4 linked regions of the Macaca fascicularis genome follow. The protein of the gene in region 1 interacts with the protein of each later gene in a pairwise test. Links are inferred from orthologs where the notes say so. Each region holds a gene or a part of one and is shown in the gene's direction. Other genes may lie near its edges.

Evidence for each region.
Region 2: the proteins of NECAB2 (region 1) and KANSL1 interact in binary tests that used the Homo sapiens proteins (3 or more experiments, as listed by UniProt). The two-hybrid records come from large-scale screens. The link is inferred for Macaca fascicularis from reciprocal best matches to the Homo sapiens genes NECAB2 and KANSL1.
Region 3: the proteins of NECAB2 (region 1) and ISCU interact in binary tests that used the Homo sapiens proteins (3 or more experiments, as listed by UniProt). The two-hybrid records come from large-scale screens. The link is inferred for Macaca fascicularis from reciprocal best matches to the Homo sapiens genes NECAB2 and ISCU.
Region 4: the proteins of NECAB2 (region 1) and NEK6 interact in binary tests that used the Homo sapiens proteins (3 or more experiments, as listed by UniProt). The link is inferred for Macaca fascicularis from reciprocal best matches to the Homo sapiens genes NECAB2 and NEK6.

The regions. Positions count from the first base shown.
Region 1 is NC_088394.1:79,839,028-79,846,396, forward strand, and holds the start of NECAB2 (N-terminal EF-hand calcium-binding protein 2), read left to right. Parts: upstream 1-3,365; 5' UTR 3,366-3,398; coding exon 3,399-3,599; intron 3,600-6,888; coding exon 6,889-6,913; intron 6,914-7,369. Other genes in the region: OSGIN1 (oxidative stress-induced growth inhibitor 1), read left to right, coding at 1-877. UniProt on the Homo sapiens protein: May act as a signaling scaffold protein that senses intracellular calcium.
Region 2 is NC_088390.1:67,801,206-67,808,603, reverse strand, and holds the start of KANSL1 (KAT8 regulatory NSL complex subunit 1), read left to right. Parts: upstream 1-2,956; 5' UTR 2,957-3,001; intron 3,002-4,531; 5' UTR 4,532-4,665; intron 4,666-7,398. UniProt on the Homo sapiens protein: Non-catalytic component of the NSL histone acetyltransferase complex, a multiprotein complex that mediates histone H4 acetylation at 'Lys-5'- and 'Lys-8' (H4K5ac and H4K8ac) at transcription start sites and promotes transcription initiation.
Region 3 is NC_088385.1:115,394,127-115,401,490, forward strand, and holds the start of ISCU (iron-sulfur cluster assembly enzyme ISCU), read left to right. Parts: upstream 1-2,519; 5' UTR 2,520-2,546; coding exon 2,547-2,660; intron 2,661-3,551; exon of another isoform or gene 3,552-4,182; coding exon 4,183-4,296; intron 4,297-5,189; coding exon 5,190-5,300; intron 5,301-7,100; coding exon 7,101-7,179; exon of another isoform or gene 7,180-7,364. Other genes in the region: SART3 (squamous cell carcinoma antigen recognized by T-cells 3), read right to left, coding at 803-1,114.
Region 4 is NC_088389.1:19,763,304-19,769,902, reverse strand, and holds part of NEK6 (serine/threonine-protein kinase Nek6), read left to right. Parts: intron 1-3,216; coding exon 3,217-3,357; intron 3,358-4,633; coding exon 4,634-4,696; intron 4,697-6,599. UniProt on the Homo sapiens protein: Protein kinase which plays an important role in mitotic cell cycle progression. Required for chromosome segregation at metaphase-anaphase transition, robust mitotic spindle formation and cytokinesis.

The DNA.
Region 1 (7,369 bases):
GGGTCTGGGGCATAACTTTGTGTCCGGTGCTGTAGTCACAGCCGTGGAGTGGGGAACGCCCAATCCCAACAGCTGTGGGGCCCAGGACTCCAGCCCCCTCTTCCAGGTGAGCGGCTTCCTGAGCAGGGACCAGGGCCGGCAGCCCTTCTCGCTGTGGGCCCGCAACGTGGTCCTCGCCACAGGCACGTTCGACAGCCCAGCCCGGCTGGGCATCCCCGGGGAGGCCCTGCCCTTCATCCACCATGAGCTGTCCGCTCTGGAGGCGGCCACAAGGGTGGGTGCGCTGACCCCAGCCTCGGACCCTGTCCTCATCATTGGCGCGGGGCTGTCAGCGGCTGATGCAGTCCTCTACGCCCGCCACTACAACATCCCCGTGATCCATGCCTTCCGCCGGGCTGTGGACGACCCTGGCCTGGTGTTCAACCAGCTGCCCAAGATGCTGTACCCTGAGTACCACAAGGTGCATCAGATGATGCGGGAGCAGTCCATCCTGTCGCCCAGCCCCTACGAGGGTTACCGCAGCCTCCCCGGGCACCGGCTGCTGTGCTTCAAGGAAGACTGCCAGGCCGTGTTCCAGGACCTCAAGGGTGTCGAGAAGGTGTTTGAGGTCTCCCTGGTGCTGGTCCTCATCGGCTCCCACCCCGACCTCTCCTTCCTGCCTGGGGCAGGGGCTGACTTTGCAGTGGACCCTGACCAGCCACTGAGCACCAAGAGGAACCCCATTGACGTGGACCCCTTCACCTACCAGAGCACCCGCCAGGAGGGCCTGTACGCCATGGGGCCGCTGGCCGGGGACAACTTCGTGAGGTTTGTGCAGGGGGGAGCCCTGGCTGTGGCCAGCTCCCTGCTAAGGAAGGAGACCAGGAAGCCACCCTAACACCCGGCCAGACCTGCTGGCTCCCAGGCCCTGAGAGGACAAAGATGACCACATCTCTGCTGGATGTAGGGTCCGTCCAAAGATGCCCCAGGGAGGGGCGTCAGCCCACATAGCTGACCTTTGGGGTCAAGAGGAGTAGGGATCCCAGTGTCTGAGGTGGTAACAGTGGCCGCAGGCCAGGGTCGGCCTAGACCTAGGATTTGGGGGTAAAGCTGCTGGTGTGAGCTGGGATCACCAGGACCAGCTGAGCACCCAGCAGGAGACCTGCAGGCCTGCGCCTTCCAGAAGCAGGTCCCAAATAAAGCCAGTGCCCACCTGCACTCATGCGTCTGAGGACTCTGTGCTCAGGGAAGGAGCTGTGTTCCCGGGACCCTGCACTGGGCTCGGGGGAAGGGAGGGAAGGCGATTGGGGGAGGAGTCCTGGGGCATGTGGTCCTGGATGAGGTCCATGACTGGGGCCTTGGGGTACAAAGGATGGTGCCCCAAGTGTGGGAGCAGTTGAGCGGGCAGCTGTACTACAGCCTGGGGGTGGCAGTGGCGGGTGTGTGCAGGGAGTGGTGTCCCGGAGGGCACTGCAGTTCTGCCCCCCCCCCCCCCGCAGTCTGTCCCCTCTCCTCTCTGTTCTGCCACGTGGCTTCCTTTCAGTCCCTCCTGCTGGCCAGGTCCCTGCCTGCCGCAGGGCCTTTGCACAGAGGGTCCCCAGCCCAGGACAGTTTCCCGCCTTTCTTTAATTCCTCTTCCTTGGGGTCTCTCAGGGTAAGAATCACTTCCTCTAGGAAGCCTCTTCTGACACAAATCCCTCCACTGCCATCGCAGCAAAGACTCCTCTCATGGTCCAAGGTGCTACCTTTTCATAGCAGTTCAGTTTTTATTTTTCTATTTTTTTGAGACAGAGTCTCATTTTGTTGTCCAGGCTGGAGTGCAGTGGTGCTTGGTTCACTACAACCTCTGCTTCTGAGTTCAAACGATTCTCCTGCCTCAGCCTCCCAAGTAACTGGGATTACAGGTGCCTGTCACCTCACCCAGCTAGTTATTTTATTTTTAATAGACAGGGGTTTCACCATGTTGGCCAGGCTGGTCTTGAACTCCTGACCTCAAGTGATCCGCCCTCTTTGGCTCTCCAAAGTGCTGGTATTACAGGCATGAGCCACCACACCCTGCCAGCAGTTCAGTTTTAATTGTTCATTTATTTGTGGAATCATTTCAGTGTTTGGCTCTGCCCACTTGGATGTAAGCTCCAGGAGCTCCAGGAGGCCAAGTACACCATCTGTTTTGCCCATTGCTGGAACTCAGCACTTGGGCACCTGCCTGGCACCTAGTGGGTTCTCCTTAATTCATCTTTTAAATGAATGGGTGGATGGATGGATAGATGGGAGGATGGTTGGATGGATGGGAGGATGATGGGTAGGTGGACGGGAGGGAGGGTGGGTGGGTGGATGGATGGGAGGGAGGATGGATGGATGGATGGATGGATGGGAGGATGGTAGGTGGATGGATGGATGGATGAATGGATGGGAGGGTGGGTGGGTGGGTGGATGGACAGACAGATGGGCAGGCGGGCAGATGGATGGATGGATGGATGGATGGATGGATGGATGGATGGATGGATGGATGGATGGATGGGAGGATGGTGGGTGGGTGGATGGATGGATGAATGGATGGGCGGGTGGGTGGGTGGATGGATGGATAGATGGATTGATGGACAGGTAGGAGGGCGGATGGATGGATGGGTGGGTGGGTGGATGGATGGATGGATGGATGGGAGGATGGTGGGTGGGTGGATGGATGGATGAATGGATGGGCCGGTGGGTGGGTGGATGGATGGATAGATGGATTGATGGATAGGTAGGCGGGCGGATGGATGGATGGATGGACGGACGGGTGGGTGGGTGGATAGATGGATGGGTGGATGGAGTGTAAAAGAAAGATGTTCTGGGGTGAAGACTGGTTCTGGGCGTTGTGTAACGAAAGGGGCGGCCTGAAGGGTCGTCCACGCCCGCGGGAGGTAAGGGTGGGCGCTCTCGGGTGTGACAGGGCCCGCGGTGCGTGGGCGCCGCTCCCTGGGGCTGGAGCCGGCAGAGGGCGCTCCGGGCTGGCTGGACATCCGCGCTCCGGCCCCTGCAGCGCGCCGCGAGTGGGAGGGGGGACTTTAGAAGCGGGGACAGCAGGAGACTTTTGGGGAGCAGACCCCAGGGGCGCCGCCCTGCCCCCAGGCCCCACCCACCCCGCGCCTCTGGGTAGCCCCATCTGTGGCTGCGCCCGCGCCCCTAGCCCCGGCGGGCAGTCCTCAGGCCCCGCGCCCGGCCGCCGGGGGTGGGGGCGGCGGGGAGCGGGCACGTGTCTCGGGGTCCGGCCGGCCCGCCCCCCGGCGCTGGCCAGTCCCCGCGGTGTCCGCGGCCGCGGGGGCAGCGGGAGAGAGGGCGGGGCAGCGCGGCCGGCGCGGGGAGGGGGTCGCGCGGGGGCGGGCCGCGGCCGGGCGGGGGTCGGCGGGCTTCCGGGCGGCGGCGGCGGGCGCGGCGCGATGTGCGAGCGGGCGGCGCGCCTGTGCAGGGCCGGCGCGCACAGGCTGCTCCGGGAGCCACCGCAGCAGGGCCGGGCGCTGGGCGGGCTGCTGCGCTGGGTGGGCGCCAGGATGGGCGAGCCCCGGGAGCCGCTGGCCCCCGCCGTCCCCGCGGACCCCGGCCCAGCCTCGCCGCGCGGGGGCACCGCCGTCATCCTGGACGTGAGTACGCGCCGGCCGGGACCCGGAGCCCCATCCGCCCCTCGGGCGGACCCCGACGCCGCGACTCGCGAGGCCCCCCCTACCCGGGCAGGAGACCCCCAGCCCCTTTGCGTGCCAGAGCGGGAGACCCCAGCCCCGCCACGTCCAGGCCGGTCTCCAACCCAGTTGTCTCCCTGGGCCGGGAGACCCCCTCCGCCCCTCCACCCGCACTTCTCCGAGTCCCTGCCTGCCCACAGTGAGGACCCGTGAGCCCCCGGACCCGGCCACTGTCCCCCTAGTTTTGTCCAAGCCAACCCCCCACCCTTTACCCCGCGGGACCGGAGTCCCTCGCCGCCTCCAGCCCCCTCCTCCTCCCTCGCCGCCTCCAGCCCCCTCCTCCTCTCCATCCCGGCTCCTGTCCGGAGCGATACTTTTCAGAGGCCCCCAACAACCCCTACCTCTAGCCCACCTCTCTTCGCTCTAGACCCTGAGCCCCTGCTCATCTCACGCCCAAAGACCCTTCGCCCCAGCTACTGCCACTTTAAAAGTGAAGCTCCCTCCCCACCTTCTGTCTTCTCGTCTCCTTTCCGTAGAGCCAGAGCCATCGCCCATCAGCCCTGAGCCAGTACCTCTCTGGTCTTCCCCACCCCGCCCCCTTCCATTCCAAGCCCTCTCCTGTCTTCTGTTCCCTTCCCCACACCCCTCTACCCTAGCGAGAGCTGGGTCCTCTTCATGGACCAGACTCACCCCTCACCACCCCTCCTAACTCCCCTGGGACGCAAACCACCCACCTCTGGGAAGCCCACCCCACCCTCCCGCCCACCCCACCCGGGAGGGAGCGGCTTGGAGGAGGAGGACTTCTCCCGGCAGAGAGCACTAGGAGGAGGTGGAGGGGGCTTCTGGGGGTGTGGACTGCGTGTTTCAGCGAGGGTCCTTCTGGGATGGCGCTGGGGGCTGCCTCTGCCTGTGTGGTGGATTTCTGGGAGAGTGGTGGGTGTGTGTGAATGTGTGTACACGCGTGTACAGCAGATCCCTGTGAGTCGGGGGGGCTCCTTCCCTTCCTCTCTCCTCTTTCCTGCTCCTGGAACCCTTGGCAGGGTCTGGACTCGGGGCGGGGGGGTGCTGGACACAGCAGGGGAAGCTCTAGAGTGCCACACTCACAGGCACAGACACACACTCGCACACAGCCAGAGAAACACCTGTGCAGCCACACACACACCCCCCACCCCGTCTCAGGAGGACCCCCACAGAGCTCCCACTGAAAGTCCTAGGCAGAGCCCTGCAGGCCCAGGCTGCCCTGCACGGAAGCCCTGCCCAGTGAGGGTGGGGGCTCTGAGCCTCCATCTCCTCACCAGCCAAATGGAGTGATGAGCAGGGGCGGGGCGAGGGGTGCTCCTGCAGACTCCTGGAGCTGGCTGACATTACCAGGTGTCAGCCCTGCCATGTCACTCATGTGTTCAGCATTCCTGCCCAGAGTCGGCACCTGCCTGGTGCCTGGCCTCAAGGGGGATCTGGGACACCCAGATAGGGCCCCAGCTTTGAGGAACCTTGCCCAGTCAGGAACAGGGCTGCAGGGTGCCCAGGCTGGATCTTTGAGGAGGGCCTGGGGGTCTGAGGTTCAGCCGGGAGGAGGGGTGATGTTTGAGAGGCCCTCCCGTGCTTCAGTCTCACCGCCCAGGTGCCTGGAAATGACCGAGGGTGCCCCTGTCTCGTTGCTTGGAGGGATGGGGGTGGAGGGCATCTGTCCTTTACCCTAAGGCGAGGACAGAGGGTGGAAGGGTCAGAGTGAGTATTACCTCCTCCCCATGGCTGACCTGGCCTCAGCAGCCCTCCCTGGTGTAGGGAAATGTGCACATGTTGCTGCCCCTCCCTGGGTCTTCGCACCCTCCTTGCTACAACAAGCCAGTGAGATTGGGGTGGGGGCCACCCCAGACCCTGGGATCCTTCTCAGGCTTTAAAGTGCTGGTGGGCCAGGCACCGTGGCTCGTGCCTGTAATCCCAGCACTTTGGGAGGCCGAGGCAGGTGAGTCACCTGAGGTGAGGGGTTCGAGACAGCCTGACCAACAAAGTGAAACCCCGTCTCCACTAAAAAATACAAAAATTAGCCAGGCATTGTGGCAGGTGCCTGTAGTACCAGCTACTCGAGAGGCTGAGACAGGAGAATTGCTTGAACCTGGGAGGCAGAGGTTGCAGTGAGCCAAGATCGCATCACTGCACTCCAGCCTGGGCAGCAGAGCGAGACCCCATCTCCAAAAATAACAAATAAAAAGTGCTAGTGAATCAGTCCCCTTAGGATCTGGTTACGGTGAAAGGTCTGACTCCACTACAGTGCAGAGTAGGTGGGACGTCCTGCATTGCAAACAAGCGCCTGCAGGACCCCCGAAGAGCTCCTGTGAATAGCAAGGTCTTAGCACACAGGTGTCAACATTGTGCCTGGGAAGCTTTAAATATGCTGAAATCAGAGCGGGCCTCACAACAGCTGATTCAGTCACCCTGGGGTGTGGCCTGGGCTGAGGAGGTTTTGAAAGCTCTCCAGGTGATGGTGTTGGAATGGGCGGAAAGCTGCCTTCGAGCCTCAGCCTGGCAAGCGGCACTGCCAGCCAGACCTTGAGGGAAGGGGAGCAGCTCTAGCCCAGGGATTTGGATGTCACTGGAAAGGCAGGAAGAGGAGGCACCTGGTCTGTAGGTTCAGGCCAGCCTTGGAGCTGCCCTTCACCCATCCCTGCCTAATGCAGCCAGAACCTCGTCTGTGGCTGCTTTTCCGAGCTCTTGGCGTCCTGTTTCTCCTCCTGCACCCCAAAATTAACACAGTCCTGCCTGTGGCTGGCATTGTCACCAGGCCTTGCAAACACCTCCGTCGGACTTATCCCAACCTCCCTGGAAACACACCAGGGGTTCTGGAAGGACTGCAGTGGTAAAGGTTGTGGCGCTCCCTGGGACACTGATTGGGAGTGTGGTTGTATGCAGCTGAGCGTTTGGCGGTGGTTGAAGCCGTGTGGACTGATGACTGTGGATGTACACCTGCAGGGATGGCCGTAGGCCTGCGTGTGTCTGTCGGCATGGCTGGGGGCAGGCTGGTGGTACTGGCAGCCGCTTCCGCGTGGGCAAGGCGAAGGCCTCTGCCTGCAACATCCCTCTCCCGTTGGCCCTGGATCCCAGCCCAGGGATGGGGAGAGGGAAGAGGGGCTCAGCTTCCCAAGACCCTAAGCTGCTCCTAGGAGAAGAGAAGGATCCCAGTATCCGGTCAGAGGCCGCCGGAAGGGCTTGCCTCTCCCTGGCCCAGGGCTGACTCGGCCTCTCTTTTCTGCAGATTTTCCGCCGTGCGGACAAAAATGGTGAGTTTCCCTCCCAGGCAGTCTGCCGCCCGCTCCTTCTGTCCTTGTGCTTCATGGGGAAAGGATCAGGGATAGGAGACATGTGCAACCTTGAGCCTAAAGGCTTGGAGTGCAGGGGTCTGAAGTTAGAAGGCCAAATCCTGCTGCTGCTCTGTGCCTCAGTCTCCCCATCTGTAAAATGGGAATCCTAGTAGGGCCTACTTAGCAGGGACACCTCCACTCGAGGGCTCAATGAGTCATGTCTGTGATGCCAAGAACAATGGCTGGCTGTGGTAAGTGCTGGGTGTACTTTAGGCCTTTTCCTAGCTGGGTTGGACCAGAGGAGCCCAGGCCAGGGCTCAGAAACCCTCCTTTAAAGGAAGCCCCCAGCTTCACGCTAGGCCCTTTACAAACCTTGGTGCACTTCTTTGTAGCAACCTGAGCAGTCAGTGCTCTTGCCTCTGTTGACACCATAGC
Region 2 (7,398 bases), on another chromosome or scaffold:
TTGTTGTTTATTTAGGTCTCCACCTATCACCCACACTGGAGCGCAGTGCTGCAATCATAGCTCACTACAGCCTCGAATTCCGAGGCTCAAACCATCTTCCTGCCGCAGCCTAGGATAGGGTTCCTTAACCTGTGGTCCACAGACTCCTGTGAACTTGGAATAGAAAAAATAACCTGCCTTTATTTTTGTGAAAGTTCAACAGGAAATTGACATTTCCTTCATTTATGAATGGAAACAACAAACCACAGTAGCAACAGCAGTACCTGTGACATTGTCATGAACAGAAATCACAGGTATTTTGTTTTTGTTTTTCTTTTTTTGAGATGGAGTCTCGATCTGTCCCCCAGGCTGGAGTGCAGTGGTGCCATCTCGGCTCATTGCAAGCTCCGCCTCCCGGGTTCACGCCATTCTCCTGCCCCAGCCTCCTCGGGTAGCTGGGACTACAGGCGCCCACCAACACACCTGGCTAATTTTTTGTATTTTTAGTAGAGACGGGGTTTCACCGTGTTAGCCAGGATGGTCTCCATCTCGTGACCTCGTGATCCACCCTCCTCGGCCTCCCAAAGTGCTGGGATTACAGGAGTGAGCCACCGTGCCCAGCCCATCACAGGTATTTTCTTTTTTTTTTTTTTTTTTTTTTTTTTTTTTTGAGACGGAGTCTCGCTCTGCCGCCCAGGCTGGAGTGCAGTGGCCCGATCTCAGCTCACTGCAAGCTCCGCCTCCCGGGTTTATGCCATTCTCCTGCCTCAGCCTCCTGTGTAGCTGGGACTACAGGCGCCCGCCACCTCGCCCGGCTAGTTTTTTTGTATTTTTTAGTAGAGACAGGGTTTCACCGTGTTAGCCAGGATGGTCTCGATCTCCTGACCTCGTGATCCGCCCGTCTCGGCCTCCCAAAGTGCTGGGATTACAGGCTTGAGCCACCGCGCCCGGCCAGGTATTTTCATATACTACAGTTGATCACTTCTCAGCCTATTGTCTAAGATCAATGCACATTATAGTTGTTGCAGGCATCATAAAATAATACTTATGCTTATTTATGACCTCAGAATTATGGTGGTCATTAGGCCTGCTATTAGATTATCTAATACATTAATAAAAAGTATATATATCGCTATATTACACTTATAAAAATATTTTGAAAACCATATTTTAGTATAGTTGGTTTTCTTTCAATTTCTGTGTATGTTTGTTATATTTCTTTTTTTCTTTCTTTTTTTTTTTTGAGTCGGAGTCTCGCTCTGTGCTCCAGGCTGGAGTGCAGTGGCCTGATCTCAGCTCACTGGAACCTCTGACTCCCTCGTTCAAGCAATTCTCTTGCTTCAGCCTCCCGAGTAGCTGGGATTACAGACATGCACCACCATGCCTGTGGTTTCACCATGTTGGCCAGGATGGTCTTGATCTCCTGACCTTGTGATCTGCCTGCCTTGGCCTCCCAAAATGCTGGGATTACAGGCGTGAGCCACCATGCCCGGCCTTGGCTTTCATTTTTGTTGTCCCATGGTTACCAGAGCCTAAAGAGGTAAGACCTATGAGGCTCTCATAGTTTTTATTTTTTATTTTTTTGAAACAGGGTCTTGCTCTGTTGTCCAGGCTGGAGTGCAGTGGCGTGATCTTGGCTCACTGCAGCCTCCACCTCCCAGTTCAAGCAATTCTCCCACTTCAGCCTTCCCAGTAGCTGGGATTACAGAGGTGTGCCACTACACTTGGCTAATTTTTTTTGCATTTCTATTAGAGATGGGGTTTCACCATGCTGCCCAGGCTGGTCTGGAACTCCTGACCTCAGGTGATCCACCTGCCTTGGCCTCCCAAAGTGCTGTGATTACAAACATGAGCCACCGCGCCCGTCCTCTCTCATAGTTTTATTGTTCTATTTTCCACAGACCCTTCCTTCCTTAATTTTCATGCCTCTTTAATATTCTGTTTCTTTTACCTCACTGACCTTCTTTTTCGTTCTCCTACCTTTTACCGTGGGTGTCTTATTACCCTGCTTAGGGAGTTTAGCATGTCACAGACCACTATCTTCAGGCAGAGGACCCCACATAGTCTCTAGTCCTCCTGATTGTCTACCCTCTCTCAAGTTCTGTAACTTCAGTTGCCTCTAGGACACCTTCACTGGGTTTTACAAAACCCTGTTACCTGGAACTGAATATATTAAAAGCTAAGATTCCTCCCCAAATCTGCATGTTGTGCCAATTTTCCTGGCCAACTATCTTATCTGTCCCCTGGTTTTGGGACCTTATTTAAACCTTTAAATCAATTTTTAAAAAATTGGAATCTTGATGAATGGTGCAAAAATCAATGGATACAAAGGATACGCCGAGATATGTAAGTCTTCCGCCCACTGGTTCCCTAGGCACTCAGTTCCCCTCCCAGGAGGTAACCACTGTTGCCAGCTCGTAAGAGTGATTTTTGATTCCTTCTTCTGCCGGCTCTATCTCAAGTCCTTCCCTGTCTGTGAGATGTGTGCCCTTTCCTTTCCAGGCCCTAGTGAACTGATATCTGGTTGAATTTATATATAAATATTTATATGTGTATATTTTCTATACATATATAACATCTCTCCCTATGGCCTTCCGGCCTGGAGTTTTCATCACGTCGCTTCCTGGATGAAGGAACCTCGAGGGGTGAGGGGCAGGGGTTGGGGGTGATGGAGAAGAGAACCTAAAGGGGACTTAGGTAGGGGGTTCAGAGTGGCCAACTGGCGTGACGCTCTGGCAGGATTCCTATTCCTATTCCTCCCACCTCAGGCCCGCTTCTAGTCCTCTCATCCAAAAGCCTCTCGTTTCCAAGGGCCGAGACAGAGACAGAGACAGCGAGATACACAGAGACAGAGACGCCGAGGCACCAGCATCCCTCTCCCCCTTCGGTCCCGCCCCATCTCTCTGACGGACACTATCGCTCAGCCAATGGTGCTCACGATATGCCCCTGAAGGGCCAATGAACGCCAGAGGAGGGCGGAAGATTCCCCGCCCCCACTTCTAGGCTTGGTTGAACCGTGCAGGTAGGTCCGGGGCTGGGGGAGCTGTCTTTGGCACTGGTGCCCCTGGGGGTGGGGGCACGAGTGGACAGGGGTGATGGTGAGGTAGAGGCGGCGGCCCCGACACGACGAGCTCGAGGGAGCGGCCCGGCTGGGAGGCGGGGGGCGGCGGGGCCCGGGGAGCGGGCGCCGCCGAGGGCCCTGGAAGCGGCGGGGCTCGGGGAGAGGGACGCGTGTGTGGGGCACGGGGACCCCCGCCCAGCGCCCACTCGTAGGCCTGGGCCGCAGGCTGCCGACCGAGTGGCCGGGGGGCCTGGCTGCCCCGGGGGCGGGCCGGGGCCGCGGCCGGGGGCGCGGAGCGGAGCTCGGGGCGCCAGGCCGAGCCGAGGTGGGACGGACCGACGCGGAGAGGAAGGGAAGCCGCATCCCGCGGGCCGCCCCTCCTGAAGCGAGCCGGGCAACGGCCGCGGGCGCCCCTGCCCTGAGCCCACCCCGCGCTCTCCCCTCCCTAACAATGGGAATGGGGCAGAAGGAGGCGCCCCACTGCGGAGGGGTGAGGGGTAGGTTTGGGACTGGGGTCCGCGGTGGGGGGAGGTGCGATCTCGGGCTCTCGCCTCTCCGCTCCCTCTGGCTCTGGAGTTGGGGGCCCTGGTGGGGCTTTGAAGCCTGCCTGAGACTTGGGTCAGGAGTCAAACTGCCGCCCCCCGCTCCTCCCCCAAAATCCGGTGAGCGGTAAGGAAAGTGATGCCAAGTCTTCGAAGCCTCAGTGACAAACGCATAGCAAGAACACATCCACTCCAGAGGTGTTTATTTTTTATTTTTATTTAAATAAGGGTACTTTTCGACATTTGTTTTTAACGAAGTGGGTGCTGTTATTTTTGTCCCTACGCGGGCAAGCCTCCATTTTAAGCGAAGCAGTAACTGGTTAAGCTGGAATTGTATTCAGGCCCAGGACTTGAACGAGGATCCTACTAGAGGTCATTTAGTCCATCCTCCAGCCTCCAGGCAAATTTACCTTCCTCCTACCCTCAAAATTAAGTTGCTCGGTCTGCTTTTAACGATCTCTGGGGAAGAAGGGTATTTTATTTGTTTCTAGTACTTCAGTCAAGAATAGGTTTTACTTTTCATGTGGAATTGACTCTGAAACTTAAGCATAATCTTGGGACAGTCGGGATGATTAGAGAGGTTTTACTTTACTAAATATAATTAAATGTAGCAAGGGTCTTTTTTTAGATGGTTAGTTAACAAATCACGTTTAGTGTTTATGAGGTACCCTGGAAACTTTATTCTCTCTGGGATTTTGGCTGTTTGATAAGCAATTTTACATTATCTAAAGTAAGTGTTACATATTTATTTCTCTTTTTATATAACGTATGTTTCTACACATATGTACGGAGACACACACACATTTGCCGTTTTCTAAAGGGGACTGTATTTTCTATACTTTTTTAGTGCGATGAGGCAAATAGTACTTCAAAATCTCTGCCCATGTAGCTTAAACTATTTGCATTTTCTTGATTATTTTTTAGTCTAAATGAAAATCCTCTCTTTCAGATACCTTATCGAAACAAAAGATTTTCCTATCTGCTCATACTTGGTAACCGAGGGAATTACTAAGACTTCTTGCTCATTTCTGAGTATTGTCTTTATATCCTGACACTATGAATGCTATTTGGATGCCTCTTAAGGTAAGATGTGTTATTTTTTCATTACCAGCCTCATTTTATTCATTTTTCTTTAGAACTTTGTAATGCTTGTAATTCTTGAATTTGCTATTCTTCAGTTCCTTTACCTGCCATTTCTCTTGCCTCTTGTGTTTGCTTCCTAGGATTGATTGGCTGTACCTTACTTTGCATTGCTACTGTTCTTTGATTATCGGTGTGAACGTTTTAATGAAGTTCTCAAATTAACTTCCATTATAATGAAAGGCAGTGATCTTTTTAACTTTAAATTATGGCAACTTACATAGTTATAAAATTCTGTTCCAATTTTAGGATAGGTTGGCAATTCAGACATCTAGGTCCACTTTTCAAACAGGTACTTTAGAGTCATAGGTACTAGGGTGTGTCCCACTCTTGCAAATCAGTAGCTGATTCATGTGTTACAAAAGATGTGTCATTAACCATTTGTTTACTCTGAAACTGCATATAGTATATTAGAACATTCTAAGACCTGCTGGTTTACACGTATGACTTTTTCAGAGTCCTCCTGCTGCACCCCAGTCCTTTGCGTGACATTTCACACTGTTTTTCTCAACAGGTAGCACTTATGCCAAGTTTATTTCACAGGGTAAACCTCATTTGGACAGTGTGGACAGATGACCTTTAGATGAAAAAGCTCCCATTGATGTGGTGGTTCTCCAGTCTCTTTGGCTTCTCTCATCTTTTATACATAGATGGCCAAAGAACCCTCCATTAGGACTAGGCAAAGGGCAGAGCTTAAGACTGAAATGGGTGGCTTCTTTGATTTTCTTGTGACTAAAAATACATTTAAAAAAATTAAATATTTTTAAATTTTACAAACAAAAACCAAAAAAGACATAAGGAGGGTATGGGAGGAAGGACAGAGAAGGATAAGCAGTCTTGGAAACCCTCCACCAGCTTCGCCTTCCTTCAGAGTTGGATACTAGCTTAGTTAAGATTGTTGTGTGCTAATCTGTTCTGTAGACTTCCAGATTAATGCAGAGGAGAAATCGGACAATAATGCAGTCTGCGTAACCTAAATATCTGGACTTGTGGGAAATCTTAGGTCATGTAGACTGAGTTCTCATCTTCATTTACGTTTCAGCTGCTATTGCTGGATAATGAGTGCTTATATTAATATACAGGAAGCCAAAGTGACACAGTTTTTCCAGCATTCTCCCTGTAGAGTTGGAGGGGTTGCATGGGGAATGCAACCAGAAGTTCTGAACCCGTCAAGAATCGGAGGACCCGTGTAAGAGTGTTTCGACTTAGCAAGTGTTGAGCACCAGGACCTGCTGGCCTCTGTCCTTTTTAGGAAGCAGGCAAGGAGATTGAGATGAATATATTGGATTTCGTTTTATAGTTTCCTAGGTTTTAACGAATGTATTTGGTACAGAAAGCCCTACTTTTAAAGATATTTCCAATGTTTAAGGTTTTACCTCTAAATGTCTCTGAACCTGGGTTACCATACAGTAACCTCAGAAGTTCTACCAGAGGTCTCTGGCATGGCAGGAATAGAGAAAGGAAATCAGCTCCATACTGTGAGTTACCACCTGTTACTACTTGAGAATGTAATTACGTGGCTGCCTTAGTTTTGTGTTCCTTACCAATCCTTTGCTCAGTGCGAAACATCTAAGTGTAAACCAATTTTTTGGGGGTAATGTTTTCTTATTTTTATTATTTAGAAACCTTAAAATTTACAGTGTTCGTCTGGTCAGAAAAAAAGGTACTTTTTGCGGGGAGGATAGCATTGAGTTTGTGGGCTGGAAAATAAAAACAGGGAGAGAGAACTTTACTCTTTTGGTGAATAGCCTTAAAACATTTCTAAGATGTAGTTTCAGATTGGAGCTACTTAAGTAAAAAGAAATGATAGGTTAATTAAAGTGCATATTTTGGAGCCCAAATGTTAATTTTATATAGCTCTTATATTTTGTTTCCAATTATCTTATTGTAAAATGAACTCTGTCGTTCTGTCAGGCATTGCTTAAATGTTAGACTGAGTATGTGCTTGTTTCCATGCATATAGAAAGTAGTGTCATACTTACTCTTCACAAACCAAAATGCGAGAGGAGGCAAGTAACAAGGAAGAATAACTCCAGACCAAAACTCTTCAATTTAAGGCACTCTCGTTAATTAGAAGTTCTCATGGAAATTATTATTTATCCCTTTTTCTCTATGTTGGGGGTCTGTACCTTTTTAAAGCCTGAATATTTCTAGCCACGACTAAGCAATGTCAGTGATGTTGCTAGGTCTAGTTGTCAGGGTTAGGGGCTAAGGAGTGGGTGAGATGGGAGAGGTATAGGGAAAGGAAGGAGAATTGAGTGAGTTGGAGAAAAAAGTGAAATGAAAATGAGGAGGAGAGAAAAGATACAGGGTCTTTAGTGTGTGGCATGGAGCCATCATCAGTTGTCTCAGGTAGTTCTTAGGGGCTGCTGGGTGCCTTGTGTGCTAGACTGAACTATGGTGAAATTACGTAAAAACTGTTCTTGACAAGCAAAACGAGAGAATTAAGACATAATATATGGAAAGATCTGCAAGGCAGACAGTTAAGTGATAAAAGCAAGATGCAGAACAGTATGTATGATTTGATACACTTTGTGTTTTTTAGGAAAAAAAAAAACAGGAGAAAAAGATAATTTGCATTGGTGTATATATGCAAAAAAAAAAAAAAAAAATCTTTAGGGCTGGGCGTGGTGGCTCACAAGTGTAATCCCAGGACTTTGGGAGGCCAAGGCGGGA
Region 3 (7,364 bases), on another chromosome or scaffold:
ATACTAAACCTTCACTCCTGATTTCCCATACCCACACCCTTACTTTCTCTCAGATCATCCTAATCTAAATGTGCCACCTATTTCCTGCTGAGATCCTGGATTATACAGTAGATATCACCACCTCGTAAGGTTACAAACGAGAGACCATGTTATGACTAGATGCTAGGCACTGGGCTATAGATACTGTTACAACAATTATATTATGCAGACATTGTTGCTCCCAATCTGCAGATGAGGAAGCCGAGAGGATCAGAGAAATTAAGAAATTCTCACAAGGACATACAAGGGTGGAACAGCTAGAACTGAGGCCTTAACCTCCAGAACCAGCAAACCTTTCCATTTCTATTATCACCATCGCGGTCAATATTTTTCCTACCACAAGTTTCATCACCGCCGTCATTCCTACACAACAAAGTAACAGTCTCTTATGAATGAGTGTATTTCTACTGTTGGACGTGTGGCTACGAGGGGGAGTTCTGGAATGGGATCAAAGTACGAGGCCTGACTTGCAGGAAGTATTATCTTGAGCAAGAGACTTTCCTCCACGAACCTCAGTTTCCTCCAGTAAAATGGGGATAGATAACAGGGCTTCCTTCACAGGGTGGTGAGGATTCAATGGGATAACATTTGCAAAGCACCGGGCACGCAGTAAGCACTCAAATGACAGGAGCTACGGTCATGAAAAAGGGGTTTGCAGCCTTGGCGGCTTTATGGCCGCCGAGGACTAGGGAGGCGGGCCAGGACACGGGGACCTGAGGACCTGAAAGACTGGAAGGTGCCCGCTGCCCACCCCCGGGCCCACCTGCTCCTCCAGTCTCTCAATCTCCAGCTGGTTCTTCTCCTCCTCTTCGTCATATTCCCACTCGTACTCCCCGGGGGAGCTCTCCGCGGAGGAAGCCATGGCGTACTCATCCCCATCGCTCTCGCTCACGCCTTCCTCCTGCTGATCCCACCCTGGCCCCACGGTCTTGTATGTCGCAGCGGCCACAGCCCGCGATAACACCTTCCTTCTTGTCCTCGCCGCCTTAACCTCATCCTCCTCTCCGTCAGCCTTGGGCCCAGCCTTGGACTCAGCCTCGGGTTCTGAAGCCGAGGTTGCGGCCGCAGTCGCCATCTTGCGCTTCTAATGACTCTCGGGTCTTCCCGCGGCCGCCGAAGACCCGCTGAGGCAGAAGCTGCCCGCGGCGCGCGCCTTATCAAAAGCCCGTTTTCTTGACACTGAAAGGGAAACTGGGAACCTTAGATAACGAGAAAATCTCCAAATACACTAAATTCATTTTATTTTATACCCCTGTAAAAACTCCCACCAGAGAAAAAACTCATTATCATGGCATACGTTCCGTCACAACTTCGGACAGAAGTTGGGTCTTTGGGCAGGAAGTGGAGGCCATAGAGGAAGTCATGAAGCGAGCGTGGTGTCTGTAGTAAAGAATTTGGCGCCATCTTGAGAAGGTCAAAGTGATTCTTAGAAAAAATACCTTACTTATCGCCTAGTGTGACCTGGCGCTTGGGTTTAGTCTCCCCAGCAACTGCACCTCAAACGCAAAGAAAACTGCAGGTCCTCGGGGAAGGATCGATTTCACCATTCAAGAGAAAAATCCATTTCCCAAAGAAATTCTTCCCCTTTATGTAAACATCTGGTACCTAGGAGGCGTTAAATACACTTGAGTTTTCCGGTTTTATAAGCTCACATACTGCAAACCAACAGTAAATACGCATTTCTTTAGAAATTCTTAATTGCTAGGCACCGACATATAAATTGAATTTGCTGTTGTTTCAGAGAGAAAAATAGACATATACTCATTTTTTTTCAATCAGGACATGGTGTTCGTTTCCTTCTTAAGCTTCCCATTGTTGAGGTAGGCAAGTACTGGAGTGTGTCTCTATCTCTACCTTGCTCCCTCATTAGCAAGCTTAATGGGCAGGAATTACGTCTGTTTTGCTTTCTGTTGGATCCCCGGGTCTAGTAGAGTGCCTTGACACATAGTAGGTACTCAACACAGATGCTGGCTTCATGATGAAGGAATTGTCCTCGAATTAATACAAAAAGGAAGATTCAGACTTAGCAAGCCGGTACCATTTGTCTAGGGACACACAGCCAGGAAGGAACCGAACCAGGATTCTAACCCAGGACTACCCAAGTTCGAATTCTAGTTGAACCTAAGCCCTAAGCGACCTTGGACGGAGTGACCAAACTGCCCTGAATCTCAGCTTCCTTAGCTGCAAAATAGGGTTAGGAAAAGTGGACTCAGTGGTCCTCTGCGCCGCATTCCCACACTGCAGAAGCCTGAGATCCTCTCTCAACCAGAATCCAGCACCCAGGACAAGCCCTCTAGCGACTTCAGACCTTCCCGCTCCCGACCCCGCCCGCCCCCGAGAGGCGTGGTCAAGGCGGGGCCACAGGGCGGAGGCTTGCACGGAACGGTAAGGCGCAGGCGCAAAGCCTCGGTGACGCCAGAGAGGCGCGCTCCCAGCTCGGCGCCGACTCGCAGACGCGCCCCGCCCCTCGGCATCGCTCTGGACTGGCGCAGGCGCAAGCCGGCAAGATGGCGGCAGCTGGAGCTGGCCGTCTGAGGCGGGCAGCGTCGGCTCTGCTGCTCCGGAGCCCCCGCCTGCCCGCCCGGGAGCTATCGGCCCCGGCCCGACTCTATCACAAGAAGGTAGGGACAAACGAGGGGACACGCGGAATGCCGACTCGGGGGAGGCCTGGGCTGGAGCGGCGGCCGCGGGGTTCTACGCAGCCAGGACTAGCTGTCGCCTCCCACGTCTTTGCCCTGACTCACTTTCCCTTGCTGCGCAGTGAGGCTCACTGCAACTGATAAACAACAGTTACCGCTCATCGGGCTGCGACTTCCAGGGGGCCCCGCCGCTGGCCGCGACTTCGTGCGTCCCAACTTTAAATTCGCCAACAGCCCAGGAGGCAGGGTCCTGTTGGGACTTGTCTTTTAGAGTCCAGGGACAGACACACCCCCGGAGCGGGCTCCGGCTTCAGCCACGCTGCTGCCCTGGCTAGATGACCTTGCGCTAGTCACTGCGCCTCTCTGAACTTGTTTCCCCAGGTGTAAATGAGGACTCTCAGCTGTCTCTTACAAAGGATACTGTGCATGGAGTCCTGTCATGGTTCCTGGCACATAGGCCCCAGCACGAGGAGACCGTTTCTGTTACTGCTTTAGGAGTGCATAGGGGAGTCAGGCTTGTAACCAACATGCGTAGTGTTTTTGTTTTGTTTTGGGGGTTTTTTTTTGGCGGGGAAGGAGGGATAGATGCATAGTTTGCAGCCCCTTGCTGTCTGGTGACGCAAAGTCCCCCAGACGTGAGACTCCCACTCTAGAAACAAAGAATGCCATAAATCAACGTGGCACAAAAAGTCCCTCCGTTAGATACTATCCTATAGGGGCCTTTACTTGGAGTCAAAATCCTTAGTCAGATGGGGAGGAAAAGGGGACTGGAAGATCGGGGTGCTTACTACTAACCAGTAACCACATTAAGGCCTTCTGTGTGCCAGTTCGAATGGATGTTGATTCTGATCTGGCCTCTGCCCTTTCTCCAAGGGCTTCTTCACTCCTCCCCCTCCCGGCGGTGTGTTTCGTTGAGGGTACACCCCGAGGAAACTTGGACTAGCAGCCTTTCAGCAGCCAGGGTGCGCTGCTGCACCAGGGTGATGACAGGCTCTGAAATACGGTAATGGCACTGTTTTTATTTTGAAAGACACATAAACGTACACATTCCATAGCATTGTTCTCTGTGTAACAGTCACCTTAAGGCTTCTAAAAGTTTTCCCTTCCTGGGCCATAGTTATTTTTAGAATTTTTAAATAGTAATCATCCTTTGAGGATAGTTTTTATTTGAAAATAACAAAACTGCTGTTTGAGCCCAAGTCTGGTGATGTAGGTGGGTAAAAGTCAAGTATTTTTGTAAAAACCCTATGGAATTAAGACATGATTTCACTGATATTTTTTTCTTCTAGGTGTCGCTAATCTGTGAAGTAGTTGTAGAGGAGACACAAAAGGAATTGGGGGTCACAAATGGTTCTCACTGACATGAGTGTAGACCTTTCTACTCAGGTGAAATTTGGTGATTGCCTGCCAGGTTCAAGATGCTGACTTCCAGGAGCTTGCCACCATACCAGAGACCAGCACCAATAGAGAGTGAACACGATTTATCTTAACCCTCTCATTTTAGGTTGTTGATCATTATGAAAATCCTAGAAACGTGGGGTCCCTTGACAAGACATCTAAAAATGTTGGAACTGGACTGGTGGGGGCTCCAGCATGTGGTGACGTAATGAAATTACAGGTATGGCTAGTCTTTAATAGTGATAACAATAATCCCTTTAAGTTTACAAAGCACTTGCACATACAGCATTTCACTCGGTCTCCATCTTTATTCCTGTGAGATGGGATGAGTCCATGTTAGACGTGATTGGAACAGGGCCTCAATCGTAGCTCTCCTGCCAGGCTAGTGTACTATGCCGACTTTTTCCGAAATAGAAAAGTAATCTCATTTTTGTACTCACTGTATAAGTTTAAATTCCAACTTCAGCCAACGAAAGAGTTTTGTGAATTTTACTGATCAAAGGAAAATCCCAGTGAGCTAGCAGTCCCCAATGAGATAAGAAACACAGTAAATTAAACCTGTCCCCAGATTGGGAGCAACATGAAGATAGTGTCTAGTGCTTTGGGTAAACTGTTGTTGTAGCGCCAATCTGCTGCTTCATGGTGAGTGGGCAGCTTGCCAGAGATCTTCATACCTATCTTGGAATACAGAAACAAAACAGGAGGAAACCACTAAGTATAATCTGCTGCCCAAGAAAAAAGTATTAACCAGAGACCTTTATTGTGTACTCTCTCAGTGTTTAAGAGGCAGATTGCCCCAGCAGCTGTGAGCAGACTGCCTCAAATAGAAGTTCATAGCCAAAATGCAAGCCAGAGTCGCAAAACAAAATAATATTGGGGTGGAGGAACATATTTTCCAGCTGATCTTTGTCAGTTGGGCCTGGATAATTGTCCCTGCATTTCACTTTTCATCACTGAGCTCTCTGAAACAAGGCAAAATCAGTAATTAATACCATCACTTAGTATGGAAAGCAAGCCCAAAGCCCTTGGGGAAGGCCCCAATGAACCTTCGTGAGTGCCAAGTTCCAGAGGGTGGTCCTAGGACTCACCACTTAACTCTTGTCTCTTTTCTAGATTCAAGTGGATGAAAAGGGGAAAATTGTGGATGCTAGGTTTAAAACATTTGGCTGTGGTTCTGCAATTGCCTCCAGCTCATTAGCCACTGAATGGGTGAAAGGAAAGACGGTAAGGTTGCTCACAAATCTGACAGAATGAAATTGCATTCACCCCAAGCCTGTCTCTTGACGGGTCTAATGGGTCAAAAACAACCATAACTTTTTTTTAATATTCTGAATTTTTAAAGTTTCTGCTATACAGATGTTGATTATATTAATTCTTCAAATTGGGAATTATAGATCATTCTAGATGATGTTTGGGTTTTTTTCTTGTTGATCATTTTGTTTGTTTGTTTGGGTGTTAATTACATACAAAAAAGATCATCACCTGTCCCTCTAACAAAATAGAATTTAGAAGAAATCTTTGGCTTTCTCTAAGGTTACCAATACTCTTATAATTTGTCAAGTCAGAGAGTTGTTATATGGTAGTTATTTTCTTGCTTATTTCCTCTCATGTTTCAGGAAGGGTTCTAGGTGGCTTACAAGGATTGGTGAAATAAACTAGCCTGTGTTAAAAGAGGGATTAAAGAATCAAAAACACAGCAAGGGTAGGGGCAAAGTGAACAACGAAATCAGAACAGTGATCCAGGTGGTTGATCGCAAGCCCTCTAAAGGCAGAGATAATAAAGAGCTAGAACTTCTCTTTCATCCCTTTCTCTCCGAAGTGTCTTTCCCTGGTAGCTGCAGAGGTCAAAGGTCCCAAAAGCAGTGAAGAGCTGGACTTTCTAAAATCCAGTTGCTGTCAGAACCTCTCAGAAAAGCCAACCATCATGGCACTCATCTTTGCTGCCCCAAGGGACCAGGTGCAGGGAGCTGAGTCATGGAGGAGCATGCTTGGGAGCTGGCCAGCTCCACGGCAGAGCGGTTTGCCAGGCCACGTGCCACCTGCTTCCTGTGGCTCACGGCCTTCTGGCTGGCAAGCTCCTGTGGGCCAGGAAGCTCAGACCTAACCTGCTCTGGCAGGAGGTAGCCCTGAAGTGATTTGTCAGGAACTGTCCTCAGGTGAAGGGAGAAATGAGACAAGGCACTTATGCTCCCAGAACCTGCCTCTTAGGGGACTGTGAATTGTGATCAGAAAATGGGAGAGAGAACATTTTCTTTAACCTTGAGATCGCCTATCTGAGTTTCAGGAGCAGAACCTGAATCAGCCAAGAAGGGTTAGCAGAATTGGGAAATTGAACGATAGTCAGACATAGCGAAGGAGCCCAGCTGTTGGGAAATCTGGTTTTCTGTAAGGCGGTGGGGCACTGTTCCACATGGGCGAGGATCTGTTTGCCTCACATTATCCCCCCCGGGCTGTCAACCAGACCCCAGGCGTCCTCCTCAGTTGATCTGGAAGAGCTGCTCCTATAGGCAAAGGGTGACACCAGAGAGAGCGTTCAGCCTGACCCGGCTGTGCGACTGCCACTGTGCCACTTACCTGACATCTTCCCAACCTCTCTGATGCCATGTGGCACTTCTAGTCAAAAGGATTTATTCTAACATTTCGTATGAGGACATCAGAGAAGCTGATATTCACAAAACCAGTATCGGAAATCACTACCTTTTAAGGAAAAGATTCCTGACACAGGCCACAAGCAGATCCCTAAGAGACTTCTCACCGGTTCCACTCCTGGCTTAGAGAAGTGTCTGGGCGGTCTTTGCTTACCCAAGCCAGGCAGTGCAGCTGTGTATACTTCATGCTTGAGAATCCCAGCTGCAGCTTTGATAGAGTGGGAGTCATCCTGAGAAGACCCTCAGCCCTTTGAGTTATTAAACAGAAATTATCCCCACCAACCCCGAGGGCCTTTTTGGCCTCCCTTTTTTATTGTCTGGCCCTCACAAGATAAAGCGTTGCTAAAACTGCCCGTCTTTCCATTATGCCTCTCAGGTGGAGGAAGCCTTGACTATCAAAAACACAGATATCGCCAAGGAGCTCTGCCTGCCTCCCGTGAAACTGCACTGCTCCAGTAAGTCTCTGCTCTCCATACCAGTCAGCTCGGACATTTGGCAGTAATTTCAACTTGCATTTGCAACAGTCCTTTTAGGTCATGGAGCCCATGTTTATAACCCTCAGAATTAGAGCTCATGAGTCTGTCCTTACAACCTGCAGAGGGTTAGAGCCCCCGTGGTCTCACATTCATCCCTAAGAAAA
Region 4 (6,599 bases), on another chromosome or scaffold:
TGCGCCAGGTCGTGTCGGGCGCATTCCATGTGTCATTCCACAAACATGCTCCAAGCAGTTGCTCCGGGCAGGTCAGAGCCTCAGTGCAGAGGACGTGGAAGGGACTAGACGGGCCCGCTTTTGAAGAGGCTGGTAGCGGGGCATGGGTCAGGGCTCAGGTAACTGAAAGAATGGAGGCTGGAGCAGGAAGTGGCAGTTCTGGCCGCTCAGGGGGTCTTGAGCGAAAAGCCGAGAAGAGATCTGAGCTGAGAGCCCACCCCATATGGAGCAAGGGCTTGGGCACCACAGTCCCCAGTCCTGGGGTCACATCCCAGCTCTGCTGTTCTTCGCTGCCTGATCAGAACAGGTCACTGCTACCCCTCCAAGCCTCAGATTCCTAAATGGGGACAGCAGTGAGGCCTACTTATAGGGTGGTTCTGAGTACCCAAAGAGTTGGCGCATGGGTGGTGTCTGCACACAGCCCAGCATGCAGTAGGCACTCAGGGATGCCTGCTCTTCTTAGGTTTGCGCTCCGTGTACAGGTGTATTTACCCAATAGACATTGGCACTTGGTGAAGAACTAGAAGTACCATATGACCCAGCCATCCCATTACTGGGTATATACCCAAAGGATTATAAATCAGGCTGCTATAAAGACACATGCACACGTATGTTTATTGCAGCACTATTTACAATAGCAAAGACTTGGAATCAACCCAGATGTCCATCAGTGACAGACTGGATTAAGAAAATGTGGCACATATACACCATGGAATACTGTGCAGCCATAAAAAAGGATGAGTTTGTGTCCTTTGTGGGGACATGGATGCAGCTGGAAACCATCATTCTCAGCAAACTGTCGCAAGAACAGAAAACCAGACACCGCATGTTCCCACTCATAGGTGGGAACTGAACAATGAGATCACTTGGACTCGGGAAGGGGCCTATCACGGGGAGGGGGGAGGGGGGAGGGATTGCACTGGGAGTTATACCTGATGTAAATGACGAGTTGATGGGTGCCGACGAGTTGATGGGTGCAACACACCAACATGGCACAAGTATACATATGTAACAAACCTGCACGTTATGCACATGTACCCTAGAACTTAAAGTATTAAAAAAAAAAAAAAAAAAACCATCATCTTCCTCTTCCAGCAGCCCTCCAGGTCGGGTCCCCCAGCAGGACCCACCATGAGAGGTAATTAGGCCTCGAGGCTTCAAAGTCAAGGTTGGCCCAGCCCTCACCTTGCTGTGTGCCGTGAGGCCTGGACTCCCATCACTCACTCCCGCAGGAGGGTGTTCTGTAGAGTTCCCTCAGCCAAATCTGGAAGAGAGATTTTCTTTTTTTTGAGGTGGAATCTCACTGTCGCCCGGGCTGGAGTGCAGTGGCACGATCTCAGCCAACTGCAACCTCCGCCTCCCAGGCTCAAGCAATTCTCCTGCCTCGGCCTCCCTAGTGGCTGGGATTTACAGGCACACACCACCACCCCCAGCTAATTTTCATAGTTTTACAAGCATTTTTGGGCCAGGTTGGTCTCAAACTCCTGACCTCAAGTGATCCGCCCACCTCAGCCTCCCAAAGTGCTGGGATTACAGGCGTGAGCCACCGCGCCCGGCCTGGAAGAAACATTTTCACTTTACTTTTTTCCCTGCTTTTCCAGTGACTTTCTGTTTCTCATTAAGTCATGATTCAGGGTCCCAGAGTAGGGATCACCACATAACCAGGTTCCCCTTAGGCACCCTGGGAGAAGGACGGAGGAGAAGTCGATGGACCCAGCTTAGACCTGCCCAGGGAACGTGCCCCTGCTCCACAGCCATCTCAGGCTGAGACCCAGGTGGTCCAGCCAGCAGTTCCTGGTGTTTCCGGGTAGGGAAGCAGCTGTCAGAAGGACCAGTCCTATAGTTCTCGGTTTGGTCTTGATTCCTTCCGCCAGGGTGCTGACGCCCAGAGACACCTGGTGCAGCACCCAGCTCAGTGTGACCCTCAGCAAAGACCCATTTCATGCTAGAAAGTTGAACGGCTGGTTCCTGCTTCAGTTGGGGCAGTGGCATGGAGCTGGGTGATGTGGGCATGGCTGGACCCTCTGGGCCTCAGTTTCCTCATCGGGCAAATGGAGACACAACAGGGCCCATCTCACCATAGGGCAGCCCAGAGATGTGGCATCCTCTCCCCTTGTCTGTCTCCTCCTTCCCTGGCCCAGGGTTGGCGCCCCCTCCTGCCTTTTCCTGAGAGCTCACTGCACAGATGTCCCGGGGCCCTCCTGGCCACTGCGGCCTCACCTGGAGGCTCCATCCCTGGGGAGGTCCCAGCGCAGGATCACGTGTTCCAACGCTGGCCCCTGCTGAGTCTTCGTGGAGCTCTAGTTTCTTCCCGGCACCCTAAAAAAGTAGTTTATTTAAAGCATGGGCTCAGTGTGTAAGGCCGCACATTTTTTTGAGTGGGGGACAGAGTCTCCATTACCCAGGCTGGAGTGCAGTGGCATAATCTCTGCTCACTGCAACCTCTGCCTCCTGGGTTCAAGCAATTCTCGTGCCTCAGTCTCCCGAGTAGCTGGAATTCTAGGCATGTGCCACCACACCCAGCTAATTTTTGTATTTTTAGTGGAGACGGAGTTTTGCCATGTTGGCCAGGCTGGTCTCGAACTCCTGACCTCAAGTGATCCGCCTGCCTCAGCCTCTCAGTGTGCTGGGATTACAGGCATGAGCCACCACATCTGGCCAAAGCTACAAATATTAACCTGCGTTTTCTTGTCTGAGATGGGGAACGGCTGTCCCAGGAGGGGAACTTACCATTTCTTACAATGACCTGGGGCATTTGGCATGGTGGCCATGGGCGGGGGAGACCTGACCTGCATCCAGCTTGCTGGACCCCAATTTGGGCATCAAGGATTCAGGAGAGGATGAGATGGGCAAGGCCCCTGGTCCCACGGAGCTAACCCCCGGGGATGGGATTCAGCGACAGCAAACAAGCAGTCAGATAATGAAGGCGGTGATAAGGGCAGTGGGGAGCGTGAACAGCCTCAGTTTTTCACCTGCAGTGGGGGTCCTTAAGGGGAACCAGGGACCCTGTGCAGAAAGCCCCTGGGGGTGCGCCTGGGAGGCTCTGAGAGCAGGGTTGGCAGCAGAGTCCCTCCTTCACCTTAGAGGGTGCTGTTGGGGTGCTGGGGCTCTAGGGGTCGTCCCCAGGCCTCTGCTCCAGCCTGGCTGCTCACGGAGACCCTCTGTCCTCTCTTCCAGAGGCACCCCAACACCCTGTCTTTTCGCTGCTCGCTGGCGGACTTCCAGATCGAAAAGAAGATAGGCCGAGGACAGTTCAGCGAGGTGTACAAGGCCACCTGCCTGCTGGACAGGAAGACGGTGGCTCTGAAGAAGGTGCAGGTGAGCTGATGACCCATGGGGTCAAACCTGCATCTCTGGAGGCCGTCTCTGCATCTGGACGGGGTGCCCAGGCCAGTCCCTTTTCTCTCCTCCTCGGTGAACGAGGGAAACAGCACCCAACCCACTGGGTTACAGGGAGAACCAGGTAGACACCTGTTCACTGTGAACCACAAAGGAAAAGAAAAACAAGCATGCATTGAGCGCCTGCTGTGTACTGGGTCATGCAAGGAGCACATGGAGCCTGGCAACAGTCCCGTGGGTGGGGACTGTCATTTCATCTCTCAGATGAGGACAATCTCTCAGAACACCCCAGGGTCCCAGTGTGTCACGGGGGAGCTGAGGTTCAGACCATGTCCACTCATCCTTGTACCTGTGCTTGCTCCACAGTTGTGGGCTTCCTGCCTTCTGCGTCCCTCCTAAATGGAGGAAGTAGATCAAGCGGCAAAGTCAGGACAGGAGCCATGTCCACGGGAGCTGCTGGGCCCATCTGAACACGGCTTTGCTGGAGGAAATGGCTTCAAATCCTCCAGCAAAGCTTCCCAAGCCCCTTGATTTGCTTACTTGTCCTTAAAGAATGAGATTGAGAGCCTGGGCAGAGGAGGCCCGGGAGAGAGAATGGCGTCGGGGAAATTGGGAGAGAACACCAGTAGCTTCAGGGCACTGGAGGAGCAGCGGGGTCCTCTGACCAAAAAAGGACCAGTTTTTCTCTTGTTTTTTTTTTTTTTTTTTTTTTTTTTTTTTTTTTTGAGACAGAGTCTCAGTCTGTCACCCAGGCTGGAGTGCCGTGGTGTGATCAGCTCACTGCAACCTCCGCCTCCCGGGTTCAAGCGATTCTCCTGCCTCAGTCTCTTGAGTAGCTGGGACTACAGGCGTGCACCACCACACCCGGCTAATTTTTATATTTTTAGTAGAGACGGGGTTTCACCATGTTGGCCAGGCTAGTCTCAAACTCCTGACCTCAAGTGATCCACCCACCTCAGCCTCCCAAAGTGCTGGGATCACAGGTGTGAGCCCCCATGCCTGGCCCTCTCTCTCGATCTTCTGGGGAGGGGCTCACCTGAGCTCCCTGTCTTGATTCTTTAGTGCCACGATGGGTTTTGTGGTGGGACAGTGCTGGGGGACCCACAGTGAGTAAACCTTACAGGGGCTGGGGTGCGGGGGGTCCCTCGGTGAGGAGGTGGGAGAGCCGGGACTGGAAAGCAGACCCCGTAGCCCCCTACAGGGGCTCTGGACACAGATTGTAACCACTCTGTTTCTCTTTTTCCTCCCGCCCAAGATCTTTGAGATGATGGATGCCAAGGCAAGGCAAGACTGCGTCAAGGAGATCGGCCTCTTGAAGGTGAGTGCCCGGGGCTGAGTGGGAACCTCGCATCCTCGGGGAGGTTCTGGGGCACCGGCTAGGCCACATCATGTCCATCACTGCCCTTGGGTGCCAGGAATCCGCAGCCCCTGCTAAGTTCGCAGACGATGGCTTTCTAGGGGCAGTGGCTGGTGAGTTTTCTCATGGCCAGGCAGGAGCGGCCTCTGCCTCATCACTCTGCCCAGCCCTCGGGGTCTTTCCTCCTTGCTGGACGCCCCTCCTGCTTGTACATGGCAGTACCCGGCATAGAAGTCCTTCCCCCCAGGGCAGCCCTGACCCTGCCTCCCAGTGTTCTGTGGACCAGGCTTGGCCAGCCAGGGGAGGAGTTCAGTGTGGGGGTCACATCCAGACTGCAGCTTTTCTGGCTCTGCCTCTGTCTCCATGTCTGCCTCCCTCTTTTTCTCTTTCTCATCCTCTTTCCGTCTCTCCTCTCAGCCTTTTTCTTTGGTTTTTATTGTTGTTGTTGTTGTTGTTGTTGAAGAGGCAAAGTCTGTTGCCTGGACTGGAGTGCAGTGGCATGATCATAGCTCACTGCAGCCTCAAGCTCCTGGGCTCAAGCAATCCTCCCGCCCCAGTCTCCCAAGTAACTGGGACCACAGGTGCTTTCCACCACACCTGGCTAATTTTTATTATTATTATTTTTTTTTTTTATTTTTTTGGACGGAGTTTCACTCTTATTGCCCAGGCTGGAGTGCAGTGGCACAATCCCTGCTCACTGCAGTCCCCACCTTCTCGGTTCAAGCAATTCTCCTGTCTCAGTCTCCCGGGATTACAGGCACCCGCCACCATACCCAGCTAATTTTCATATTTTTAGTAGAGACAGAAAGGTTTCACCATGTTGGCCAGCCTGGTCTCGAACTCAGGTGATCCATCCACCTCAGCCTCCCAAAGTGCTGGGATTACAGGTGTGAGCCACCACGCCCGGCCACATTGTTAATTTTTTGTAGGGATGAGGTCTCCTTATATTGCCCAGGCTGGTGTCAAACTCCTGAGGCCTCAAGCAGTCCTCTCATCCCAGCCTTCCAAAGTGCTGGGATTACAGGCAGGAGCCACTGCGCCCGGCCCCCAGTGAAACATACTGGATTTGCTCGGCAGTTTCCAGCAAAGTGGGATTGCTGGTGGCAGGGATGCCTGCTGAAGCCACAGCTGCAGAATTTCAGATTAGCAGTTTATTCTACCACACCCTACCCTGTTTTCTCAGGCCTTGGCCCTGCCCTTGGGGACTTCCAGGCTGGTGGGGAAGCAGATGGTGACCTTCCAGGGTGATGCAGATTGACTGGTGGGCCAGGAGCCCCGGGGAAACCCACTTCCTGAGCGGGTCTTACAGAGGCCAGGGCACCATCCCAGAATCTGGAAGGCCGAAGTGAGCCTGCTTCCAGGCACTGCAGCAGTGTGGATTATGGGAGGTTGGGGAGACAGAAAGCCGGACATGGCGGCAGGGCCAGATACACACGCAGAACCAAAGGGGAGCCCCTGAAGTGGCTGCAAGCTGGGGGGCCATGGCGGGGTGTGAGTTGTGAGTGCCTGCTCTGGTGGCCCCCGGCCACAGTGGGTGATGGAGTCAAGGCTGGAGACAGGAGATGTCCTTACCGCTAACTATTATAGGTCAAAAAATATCCCTCGAAAGCATTGTTTAAATGTTTAAGTAATGGTCAACTTGCTGCCACTTACCCAGCCCTGATCACCCATTGCCCTCTCCCCACCTTGCATGCCTTTCTCCCCAAGTGAGGGAACCCGCGGGTGAGCATGCTGAGCACAGCCTGGTCTGGTCCCTGGTCACACAGATGTGCCATCGCAGCTCCTGCCTTGCAGGAGCCTGAGCCTGGCGTAAGCCCACCTGGCCGCGGAGGGGATTCTGCCCCTTCCCCAGGGCTGTGGTGCA